3 linked regions of the Macaca fascicularis genome follow. Each later gene encodes a partner of the first gene's protein in a complex. Links are inferred from orthologs where the notes say so. Each region holds a gene or a part of one and is shown on either strand. Other genes may lie near its edges.

Region 1 (3,992 bases):
GGTATAGCACCATTTGCAAGCTCCCAGAAGTGAGCATGCTGAGTAATCCTCAAAAGGGTGGCTTACTAGACGAAACCTGCTGGCAAAACCTAATCTCCTTCCCCTGCAAAAGACCCCACAAACTACAAAATATCCCGGCTCATAATACACTTTAAAATCAAATGGGGCTGGGTGTGGTGGTTCACGCCTATAATCCCAGCACTTTGGGAGGCCAAGGTGGGAGGACCACCTGAGGTCAGGTGTTTGAGACCAGCCTGAGGGTTGGCCATGTGGTGAAACCTGTCTCTACTAAAAATACAAAATTAGCCGGGTGTAGTGGTGCATGCCTGTAGTGCCAGCTACTCTGGAGGCTGAGGCAGGAGAATCGCTTGAGCCCTGGACGTGGAGGATGCAGTGAGCCAAGATCGCGCCATTGCACTCCAGCCTGGGTGGCAAGAGCCAAACTCTGTCTCAAAAAAAAAAAAAAAAAATCAAATACAAGATTGGGAGCAACTTAACCTCTCCAAAATCGTTTAATATGACTACGCTTGAAAATAAGTATGGAGAAGTGGGGTAGGTTGCAGAAATATGAAATACTGAAGACACAAAATAGGGACTAAAAGTGACCCTGTAACCCACCGAAGACTAAGTTAGCACAGTATTTAACAAGCAGCACTTTAAAATAATGTTTGTGAAGAGACGGCTAAGGGGTGTCCTGTCACATCTCCGTCCTCAGGAGGAAGCTGAATAGAGGGGAAGATAAAACAGAATGGATTTCAACTGGACACAAGGAACTTCTTTAGCAAAAAAAACAAAAAAACAACAACAACAAAAAACCACCAAAAAGTGATAAAACTAGCCCTGCTTACCAAAGACTAGAGCTACCATTTCAACATTTTAAAAGGGTAAATCAGTCAGGATCTTTAGGTCATTCTCTTGGGTTGAAATCAAGTAGCCGAGGTACTTGACCATAATGTGATTATTCAGGGGCTATTTTCAAATAGTTGGCAATAAGTACTTACTTGACTGACTAGGGAGGGCTCACCCAAGAGCCAGGACACCTCGCGCTCCCAACTCCTCAAAATGCAGAGGAGGAAATCAAGAGAACAGAGACAAGAGCATGGATTCAGGCTGCCAATAAAGGTTGGATCCCAGGTTCCATGTAGATATTTGAACAGTTAGTGACTTTGAACCCCTCCATTTGATTCGTGGTTACTTCCTGGCTGCAGCACCGCATCGCACAAGAGTTCCCCCTACGACTCTGGGCACCCCGCATCTCTAGCCAAGCTTCTTTCAGCCCTTGACTTCCTCCAGCTCTCGACGGAGAGGTAGTAAAAGGATGAGTAAGCATGCAGTGGCTGATCTTGGTCAAAGAGCACAGACCCTGGCACCGGCGGTGGAAAGCGCAGTTGGGGAGTGCATCCCGCGAGCGGCTGGCAGGTACAAGCTTCCCACGACACATGCTGTCACCCCGTTCCGCAATCACCGGAGCCTTTGAACCCTCGCTTTCACCTCCCCATCCCCCCAAATGTGGCCCGGCGCACGTCTTCTATAGACAGTTGCTTCAAAACAGCCCGAAAAGATGAACGTAATTTCTCCAGGCTTCCGGATGTCGGCAGACAATACAGCCTCACCCTGAAGCGTGTCTAAGTTCGATCGCTCCGGTTTCTCACAGGCCAGAAAACCGCTTGTTCTGTGACACCCCGTCCGCCCCCCAACCCGACCCTAAGCCACCTTATTCAGCAGTAAGGCGACGCTAGGAACCGTTTCAAATGTACGTCAACCTTTTGGGGGAAGAAAAAGAAAACAAAAAGACTTCGGAATTACTTCAACAGCGTGGTTGCAAGTACCTGACCTTATTCCTTCCCGAAGAAATATAGGCCACTGAGAGATCAGACATTCCTTTTTCTCTGCCTTCCTACCCGGGCCGCCAGCAGCATCTCCAGGGCCTCCAGAGGGGCCTCTTTTGGGGGCTCGCCTAGGTTTCCTATGTACAAAACTTGCGTTCAGAGACCAAACGTTCTCTAAGTCCCTAGTTTTCTTTACAAGGGTAAACTTCACCACAGATGGAATGAAGCCGAGGTGCTGCTTCCTTTGTTAAAATCCCACGGACTTTCTTTTCCTTGCATCGGGGGCGGGGTGGGGGAGACCGCCAGCCCCGGTCACGCGCGCCCGCGGCGAAGGCGGGGAGGCAGGTGTGACTCCTTCCTCGCGGGAGCCTCTAGCGCGGCTCCCTGGCGCCGCCTCATTTCCCCAGACGAGTCCCGGACTCCTCGGCGGCCGGCGGCCCCCGCCCCGCGCCTCCCACGCCCTCCGCCCGGCCGCCACCTGCCCGCCCGGCCCGCGGAGGGCGCCCGGCTACCGCAGCTCCTCGACCGGTGCGGACGCCGCCCCGACCGCCACCACCTCCGCTCAAAATGGTGGTTACGAAACGCGCGGCCCCCGCCCGCCCCGCCACATGGCCGCGCCGGCTCCAAACTTCGCAGGCCCGGCAGCGACCCGGCTTCCAGGCGAGGCCCCGGCGGCGCGAGAAGGCCGCGCGACCACCGGCCACTCACCCACAGACCGGTAGCCCAGGATCGCGATCTTCCGGGACTTGGACTGCGGCATCTTGGCGGCCTCCTCAGCCCCGGCCCAACCACATCAACCGCGGCGGCGGCGGCTCCTGCTGCTGCGATCGGCGGCGGCCGCGCCGGGGGAGAGCGGCATACAGAGCAGGGGCGGCGGCGGGCGCGGCTGCCTCTAGCTCGCTCGCTCGCTCGCTCGCGCGCTCCCAACCGCCCGGAACCGACCGCGCGGCGGCGCCCCTCCCCCCACAACACACCCACGTGACCGGCCGGCGTCAGCACCGCCCCTCCTCGCGCCGTGGCCCGCCGCCTCCGCCCCCTCGAAATACGCGGGGGTGCGTCGGGGCGACGTTTTACTTTAAAGGCAAAAAAAGGGGACGCCGCGATGCCCCCAGAAAAGTCACGACTGAAACTCGCTGCGTCATGACCCTCCCACCTTCTTCCGCCGCTTTTTAATTACGCCATTCTCCCCGAGCGCCGATTGGACGGCACCTGCACAGCCGCGCGATGACGTGTCAGAAACTCCATCTCCCATTGGGGGAGGCAAGGAGGCGGGGCGGAGGAGGCGGGGCTGGCCACCCAGGAGCTAAAAATACACCGCGCTGCTACAGCGCGGTTGGGCGCCGGCGAGGTTTGAAGGCTTCAAACTTCCAACCGGTTGGGGGCGGGCGGGAGAGGCGGAGAGACAAACGGTGGCTCCCCGGTGATTGGCCGGAACGGAGCGCAGGGCGGGGCAATAGGTGGGAGGTGCGGTGATTGGTGATAAGCTGAGCGGTTGGCTGGTTCGCGCCCGCTGAGCCCGTGAAGGGCGCGAGGCTCGTGGCCGGGGCGGGCGGTGGTTGGGCTAGCTCCTCCCTCGGGGCTTTTTTGAAAATTCCCCTTGAGCTGCGTTAGCGTTCGTGTCTGGGTTTGAGGATGTAGTGGTGACTAAGCGTCACCCACGGCCGAAGGACTGTGGGAAGCATGGAGTCTGCGTTAATTCAAAGTGTTAGGAATTTCATTAAAAACAGGGCGAGCCTCGTCAGTTCTGGTGTCTGCTTCGCTTCGCGCGGAGCTCGGCGCACATCCTGGAACAACGCCGGGGCGGGAAGCCGGTTCTCCGCCAGCGCCAGGGCGGCTGGTGCGGCGGGCAGGCCGGAGCCGGGTGCCAGGAACGCCTCGGGCCGCGGTGTGGGCACAGCCTTCCCAGGGGTGCAGTGCAGAGGGGCGCGGGAAGAGAATCCGGGCCGGGAACGCAGGTGCCGTTGAGGGACGAGCCTCCAGGCAGGCCCGGAGTGGTGGCTGCTGGTGGGCTTGGCACTTGCCGAGTTAGCAGAGGCTCCGCCGCGCCGGGGAACCCGCCCCTATTCTGCCGAGGCTGTTTGGCAGTGGGGACCTGCAGAGGCCGGGCATGGCCCTTCGCCCTTTCCCAGTGATCGGTAGGGAGGAATGAAGCCCAGGGAAACT
Region 2 (3,513 bases), on another chromosome or scaffold:
CTCCCACTTCCCAAAACCCATTTTGTGCTGAAATTTTACCATTAGAACATACCCGAAGATAGAAACTGAGATCTCAACTTTTTTCTCCAAAAGAAAATTTGCGTTTTTATCTCCCTAAAGTAAAGAAGAAGTAAGGGGTTAAAATCACCAGAACAGAGTAGAGAGAAGGTACCCGTGCAGCCCCCTTCCTGATGAGAGTAGCTAGATGAGGCCCTTAGATGCACAAAACCTGGTGTTCCTTGAAGATCTAATATTTTTCAGATATGAGTGACCAATTAGAGTCCTCTGCTTTCAGCCACACAAAGTGTAGTGCACTTACCAAAGCATTATCCAAAATGTAATAAAGTGTTCTCTAAATCAGCTATAAGAAGCTCCCAGAAATTTGAAGCATCATAGTCATGTGGTTTTCATTTAGAATGGCTTCAACATTTGTTTTTCTCTTACCAGCCCGTGTTCCCAAGAAAATCCTCAAGTGCAAGGCCGTGTCTCGAGAACTCAATTTTTCTTCAACAGAACAAATGGAAAAATTCCGCCTGGAACAAAAAATTTACTTCAAAGGGCAATGCCTAGAAGGTATTCTGCTGCCTGCATGCCTGAAATCAGGGCTTAGGGGGACCAGGACAAAAGGCAACAATACCCAGTGAACTAAAGCAGTGCTTTGATAACATTCCTTTTACAACTCAGTTTGTGGTAGGATTCCTACACTCTGCAAGACTGTGAATCCCCAGTGAAAACAAACCAAAACAAAGCTGGCCACTGCAAGGGGCTTTGAGGTCTCTGACACTGGGAGCATGGATGGTGGTACCTGGTTTAGGCACTGACATTGTATTGTGATATGGTCATGGAGGAAGCTGCTATGAGCAGGGCCTAGTACAGTGCTCTACATACAGTATCATACAGATTTGACTGGCCACTCTGCATTGAATTCTCACCATGCAGTATAAGAGGGCACATAAGCCCCTTCAAGCTAGTCCAAGAGAATTGAGCTATGTATCTATGTATAGTTCACATCTAGCCTACCTCTAAGAAAATGCTGCTTATGTTGTGTCCTGGTCACTGGTCCTAGTCCTTTAGACCTCAAAGCATGAGAAGCAAGGCTTTGGTGTAGTTCAGAGGACAACCTGAGGAGCCTTCCCTGTCTTTTTTATGCCTCTGGTCTGAGAGGTTGCTGATAGCTTCCTTCGGTGGTTCTCAGGGTAGGAAGAGGCTCACTCTAGAGGAGGGAGACAAAGAGCCCTTAAACTTTATACTGGGGCACCTGCTCACCCCGGCTTTTCCTTCTTCCTTCAGAATGGTTCTTCGAGTTTGGCTTTGTGATCCCTAACTCCACAAATACCTGGCAGTCCTTGATAGAGGCAGCACCCGAGTCCCAGATGATGCCAGCAAGCGTCTTAACGTGAGTGAGCAGGTCTCAGGAAATTATGAAGTGTGTCTAGAAACAGGCATTCCAGGCAGGTGGGACTCCTGGTGCCATTGAGTGGGCAGAGAGCTCAGTTGAGAAATAGAGTAAAAGAGTATCCGAGGGCCGGGCGCGGTGGCTCACGCCTGTAATCCCAGCACTTTGGGAGGCCGAGGCGGGCGGATCACAAGGTCAGGAGATCGAGACCACGGTGAAACCCCGTCTCTACTAAAAATACAAAAAATTAGCCGGGCGCGGTTGTGGGCGCCTGTAGTCCCAGCTACTCGGGAGGCTGAGGCAGGAGAATGGCGTGAACCCGGGAGGCGGAGCTTGTAGTGAGCCGAGATCGCGCCACTGCACTCCAGCCTGGGCGACAGAGCGAGACTCCGTCTCAAAAAAAAAAAAAAAAAAAAAAAAAGAGTATCCGAGGGTGTCTAGGTTTCCAGGTTCCTGACCTTTTTCATATGAAAAAGACAGTATGATAGAGTGGAAAGAATAATTAAAAAAAAAAAAAGAAAAAAAAAAACTTTAGATTAGACCAGATTTAAATTCCTGATTCACACTGACTACCTGTGTCATCTTGGGCACTAATACACTTTATCTCTCTGAGCCTTAGTCTTTCATCTCTAAACACAGAAATTAATTCTCTCTTACAGAGGTGTAATGAAGATAAAATGCGATGGCATGGAAGGAGACTGGCATTTAATATATACCGAATCTATGTTAATTTGCTCCTATTCCTGACTACCATACTTCCAGTATCTCTGTATTTTGTTTAGATCACCTTTAACAGAATCTGGCAAAGTCCTATTAATAATTCTGTTTTCAAGGATACTTGGTTACAATTTTTTGGTGAATAGCTTACCATATTAATAGCTTTGGTTCCTGTTCAAAGAACAGTTTGTTTGTGCTTTGTCCAAAAACACTGTCAATAACTTCCCACCTCCCATTGTCTGTGGGAAAGGTGTTAGTCTCTCAAGTGTTATAGTAATAGTACCTTCTAAAGAGTTAGTCCCAGCCGGGCGCGGTGGTTCAAGCCTGTAATCCCAGCACTTTGGGAGGCTGAGACGGGCGGATCACGAGGTCAGGAGATCGAGACCATCTTGGCTAACACGGTGAAACCCCGTCTCTACTAAAAAATACAAAAAACTAGCCGGACGAGGTGGCGGCGCCTGTAGTCCCAGCTACTCGGGAGGCTGAGCCAGGAGAATGGCGGGAACCCGGGAGGCGGAGCTTGCAGTGAGCCGAGATCCGGCCACTGCACTCCAGCCTGGGCGACAGAGCGAGACTCTGTCTCAAAAAAAAAAAAAAAGAGTTAGTCCCAAATTAGCTGGGCATGGTGGCACACACCTGTAATCCCAGCTACTCAAGAGGCTGAGATAGGAGAATTGCTTGAATCAGGGAGGTGGAGGTTGCAGTGAGCCAAGATCATGCCACTGCATTCCAGCCTGGGTAACAGAGCAAGACTCTGTTTCAAAAAAAAAAAGAGTTAGTCCCACAGATAATTGTGTAATATTGGATCATCTCTTTCAACAGTTCCTTTATGAAAGCCATATTGAATTTGTTAAAAATTGAGGTTATTTACTTTTAGGTTTTTTGTTTGTTTTGGTTTTGGGTTTTATTTTATTTAAAAAAAAAAAAAAAAAAAAAAAAAAAAAAAAAAAACCAGGGTCTTGCCATGTTGCCCAGGCTGGACTCCAGCTCCTGGGCTCAAATGATCTTCCTGCCTCAGCCTCCTAAGTAGGTGAGACTACAGGCATGTGCCACTATGCCTGTCTCTACTTTTTAAGGTTTTTTTTTTTTTTTCTTTGAGACAGAGTCTCTCTCTGTTGCCCAGGCTGGAGTGCAGTGGCACAATATTGGCTCACTGCAACGTCTGCCTCCTGGGTTCAAGTGATTCTCCTGCCTCAGCCTCCTAAGTCACTGGGATTACTGGCACCCACCACCATACCCGGCTAATTTTTTGTATTTTTTAGTAGAGACGGGGTTTTGTCTTGTTGACCAGGCTAGTCTTGAGCTCCTGACCTCAGGTGATCCACTCGTCTTGGCCTCCCAAAGCGCTGAGATTACAGGCATGAGCCACCGTGCCCAGCCCCTTTTTAAGTTTTTAATAG
Region 3 (3,971 bases), on another chromosome or scaffold:
AGTTTCCTTTAATATTCTAAACAAGAAAGTATGGTGATAAATTTACTTATGGCCCTGGTCATCCAACACAGATCTCCCCCAAGCCCTTGTCAGGCAGGGGATTCTAAAAAGGTTGAGAGATCTTATTGAGGAACATTTAGAAAGCCTAGATTCATTAAACAATGACTGATGTTTAAAAGAGGCAGTGTGGTAGGGAGGGTCAAATTGCGGGCTATGGGAGCTAGCCTACTTGGGTTTGAATCCTTGGGTTAGATACCTTGAGCAGTTTTGGAGGCCGAGTCAGGAGGACCACCTGAGGTCAGGAGTTCGAAACCAGCCTGGCCAACATGGTGAAATCCCATCTCTACTAAAAATACAAAACTTAGCTGGGCGTAGTGGCATGTGCCACCCGGGAGGCTGAGGCAGGAGAATCACTTGAACCTGGGACGGGAGGTTGCCCTGAGCCAAGATCCTGCCACTCCACTGTCTCAAACAAAAACAAACGAAAACAAAAACAAGGTTATATACCTTGAGAAAGACACTAAAAATGTTTCTTCAACTACAATAGGAAGATAATAGTACCTAGTTCATGGGTTGATGTGAGGACTAAATGAGTTAATACATGTCAAAAAGTATTTAAAACAGTGCAGGGCATATACTGAGTTCTTAATAATTGTTAGCTATTATTATTACTACTACTACTATGTACACGGCACAGTGCCAGGTAACAAATGTGGGGAGGTAGGGAAAGAATCAAAAATGACTAAGACTGCCCCTTTGCTCAAGTTCAGTCTAAAAAGAGAGATTATTATTCCACAGCAGCATTGTCTAATAGAAATATAGGCCAGGCACAGTGCCTCACGCCTGTAATCCCAGCACTTCGGGAGGCCAAGGCAGGCAGATCACCTGAGGTCAGGAGTTTGAGACCAGCCTGGGGAATATGGTGAAACTCCATCTCTACCAAAAATACAAAATTAGCCAGGCATGGCAGTGCGTGCCTGTAATCCCAGCTACTTGGGAGGTTGAGGCAGGAGAATCACTTGAACCCAGGAGGCGGAGGTTGCAGTGAGCCAAGATTGCGCCATTGCACTGCAGCCTGGGCGACAAGAGCAAAACTCCATCCCAATTGAAAAAAAAAAAAAAAAAAGGAAATACAGTGATCCACAAATGTAATTTTAAAGCTGCTGGTAGCCATATTTTAAAAGGTGAAAAGAAACAGGTGAAATTAATTACTTAAACTAATATATCCAAAATATCATTTCAACATGTTATCAATATTTTAAAAATTGATATAGTGTCCATTCTTTTTTTGTAGCGAGTCTTCAAAATCTAATGTGCATTTTACACTTACGACAATGTCAATCTGGACTAGTCACTTTTATTTATTTTTTGAGACAGAGTCTTGCTCTCCGTCACCCAGGCTGGAGTGCAGTGGCGTGATCTTGGCTCACTGCAACCTCCACCTCCTGGGTTCAAATGATTCTCCTGCTTCAGCTTCCCAAGTAGCTGGGACTACATATGTGCAGCACCACACCTGGCTAATTTTTTTTTGTATTTTTAGTAGAGATGGGGTTTCATCATGTTGGCTAGGCTGGTCTCAAATTCCTGACCTCAGGTGATCCACCCGCCTTGGCCTCCCAAAGTGCTGGGATTACAGGTGTGAGCCACCTGAACTAGTCACATTTCAAGTGTTCTACAGCCACATGTGGCTGGTGGTTCTTGTACTGAACAATGCAGTTCTACAGGGGACTAGCACTTCAAATGTAAGCTAAAAGAAACCAATTAGTTTCTGAGATCATTCCTTCATTCCTCAATTATGCCCACACTGCTATGGGTGGAACATATACCTATCCTAAGTATGTTCAGCTTATGCTACAAAACCAATTTCTCAAAATTCTTATTTTTGAACCAATTTGTAAGGCACAGAGGAAAAACAGGGAATAATTGGTTTTGAAAAGCTTTCAAATACTCCAGTGCCAAGAAGAAGACTGCAGAAAGAAATGTCATCCTTTAGGGGAGAAGAAACTTAAGAATCCCTACTAAGAAAACTACTCCAGTTTGTGTGTATGTGTGTGTGTATGAAAGGGGGGAAGGAGGCTAGCAAGGAAAGGCTCAGGAAAGAACCAGTGTAACTTCATACGGTCTGAGGCCCACAGGCCATCTGCTCCAGGCTGAATTCAATTAAACTTAGGATATCTGAAGTCAAACATCCTAAGGGTCTTGATAGGGCTTAAGTAAGTTAAAATTGGATGGGAGAAACAGGGATGGGGCTGGGGGAGAAGGCGAGAGGATGTACCCCAACGATGTAACCGAGCTCAGTTTCGGTGACTGGGTCTCTGAGAAGTGTCCACGGTGGAGGATAAGGGGCTGACACGGACGCTGGTGTTCCCTGGGGCAGAGATACAAAATTTTTGTACGTGGCTCAGAAAAAAGGGTGGCTGTAACGGGCAAAAGACCCAAAGGGCAGTACCAGAGCTGATGGACCGGCCTTCGGGGGACGTACCGCGGGCCGAAGGGTGCAGGGGTCTCTTGGGGGTCCCGGGGAGGTGGGCGTTGCCTCGAGGGGTGGGACTCAAGGGCTCAGACGATGCCCAGGTCGTGGGGCCGGCAGTGTGGGGACCCCACGTCCCAGACGGGCGGCTTCCCCTGCCCCCCCACGGGCAGGTTGGCCGTAGGTCTGGACATTACGCCGCCTCAGAGGGGTCGTTCCAGGCCCTAGACTCACCGTGCGGCTTCGGCCAAGGCCTCAGCTGCCGCCGCCAGCACCGCTACCGCCGCCTCAGGCCCCCTGCCCCACCGCCCGCCTTCCCCGCTGTCCTCTAAACCGGGAGCGAGGGAAGGAGGGTTCCTAGCCCTGAGGACCAATCGACACGTACAGGAAGAAGATGGACTGAAAAACAGGCCAATAGTAATGAAGAAGAAGTGAAGCTTCAGGACCCGGCTTCTCCAGGGGGCGGGGACTATTCAAATAGACAAACCACGCGGCCAGTGACAGCTGAAAACAGGCTTGGGTCCACTCGGGAGAACCAATCGGTCGTGAGTTGACCTCAGTCACTTCCACTCATACATCCGGTGCGGCGCTGCTAGGATTCCCCTCTGCATCCGGGCTGTGAACTCAGGGAGTCCGCTGTCTGGGTACCTCCGGATCGCACCAAGAGCGGCTAGCAGAGGTTCGCGACCCCTCCCGGTGTAATTCTGAGAGGAGAGTGTGAGCAATGCTGGCGCCCAGGAATTACTGCATCAGAAGACGTTTCGGGCTAGCGCTCTTTATGGATCCTATGATTTCTCTTTTGTTACATTTAATAAGCATTTGAAAATGTTTTTAATTAGATTTTCTCACTTTCCCAAAATTATCCAATTCAGGATCATTCCAGAGAAACCATAGCCAAGTTTTAACCAAAAGAGCTACTCATAAATAAAAAGTTTCAAAGAAACATTATATTTTTTTAATCGTTTCAAAAATCAATAGCTGGCCCGGCGCGGTGGCTCACGCCCGTAATCCCAGCACTTTGGGAGGCCGAGGCGGGCGGATCACTTAAGGTCAGGAGGAGTCGAGACCAGCCTGGCCAACATGGTGAAACTCTCCCGCGTCTCTACTAAAAATACAAAAATTAGGTGGGCATTGTGGCGCACGCCTGTAATCCCAGGTACTCGGGAGGCTGAGGCACGAGAATCGCCTGAACCCGGGAAGCAAAGGTTGTAGTGAGCTGAGATCGTGCCACTGCACTCCAGCCTGGGCGACTGAGAAATCTCCGTCTCAATGAATACATACATGCATGCATGCATGCATACATACATACATACATACATACCAAGGAAAATAAATAGCTGCTGGTCACAGTGGCCCACGCCTGTAATCCCAGCACTTTGGGAGGCTGAGGCACGAGGATCGCTTGAGGCCAGGAGTTCCAGACCAGCCTGGGCAAATAGTGAGACAATGTCTCTACAAATTGGAAAAAAAGAAAAAAGAAATCAATAGCAAAAGTGGATTT

Evidence for each region.
Region 2: the proteins of RHEB (region 1) and PDE6D are in contact, whole or in part, in a crystal structure (PDB 3T5G), measured with the Homo sapiens proteins. The link is inferred for Macaca fascicularis from reciprocal best matches to the Homo sapiens genes RHEB and PDE6D. Residues at the interface, in NP_005605.1 of Homo sapiens: Pro2, Gln3, Ser4, Gln57, Asp77, Gln176, Gly177, Lys178, Ser179, Ser180, Cys181; in NP_002592.1 of Homo sapiens: Ile53, Leu54, Cys56, Val59, Val80, Gln85, Cys86, Leu87, Glu88, Glu89, Trp90, Ile109, Glu110, Ala111, Ala112, Pro113, Gln116, Met117, Met118, Leu123, Tyr149.
Region 3: the proteins of RHEB (region 1) and MTOR are in contact, whole or in part, in a cryo-EM structure (PDB 6BCU), measured with the Homo sapiens proteins. The link is inferred for Macaca fascicularis from reciprocal best matches to the Homo sapiens genes RHEB and MTOR. Residues at the interface, in NP_005605.1 of Homo sapiens: Lys5, Ser6, Arg7, Lys8, Arg15, Pro37, Ile39, Glu40, Thr42, Gln57, Ala62, Asp65, Tyr67, Ile69, Gln72, Thr73, Ser75, Ile76, Asp77, Asn79, Asp105, Met106, Val107, Gly108, Lys109, Val110, Ile112; in NP_001373429.1 of Homo sapiens: Arg62, His69, Glu73, Ala101, Thr102, Ile104, Gly105, Arg106, Asn109, Tyr110, Arg112, Asn113, Phe140, Glu143, Tyr144, Phe147, Glu154, Arg160, Thr969, Gln973, Phe977, Lys980, Glu1010, Phe1011, Gln1014, Met1018, Ser1050, Thr1051, Asn1264, Lys1293.

What each region holds. Positions count from the first base shown.
Region 1 is NC_088377.1:192,793,010-192,797,001, forward strand, and holds the start of RHEB (GTP-binding protein Rheb), read right to left. Parts: upstream 2,802-3,992; 5' UTR 2,590-2,801; coding exon 2,538-2,589; intron 1-2,537. UniProt on the Homo sapiens protein: Small GTPase that acts as an allosteric activator of the canonical mTORC1 complex, an evolutionarily conserved central nutrient sensor that stimulates anabolic reactions and macromolecule biosynthesis to promote cellular biomass generation and growth.
Region 2 is NC_088386.1:127,657,593-127,661,105, reverse strand, and holds part of PDE6D (retinal rod rhodopsin-sensitive cGMP 3',5'-cyclic phosphodiesterase subunit delta), read left to right. Parts: intron 1-447; coding exon 448-573; intron 574-1,290; coding exon 1,291-1,396; intron 1,397-3,513. UniProt on the Homo sapiens protein: Promotes the release of prenylated target proteins from cellular membranes. Modulates the activity of prenylated or palmitoylated Ras family members by regulating their subcellular location.
Region 3 is NC_088375.1:223,546,786-223,550,756, reverse strand, and holds the start of MTOR (serine/threonine-protein kinase mTOR), read right to left. Parts: upstream 2,801-3,971; 5' UTR 2,705-2,800; intron 2,369-2,704; 5' UTR 2,276-2,368; intron 17-2,275; exon of another isoform or gene 1-16. UniProt on the Homo sapiens protein: Serine/threonine protein kinase which is a central regulator of cellular metabolism, growth and survival in response to hormones, growth factors, nutrients, energy and stress signals.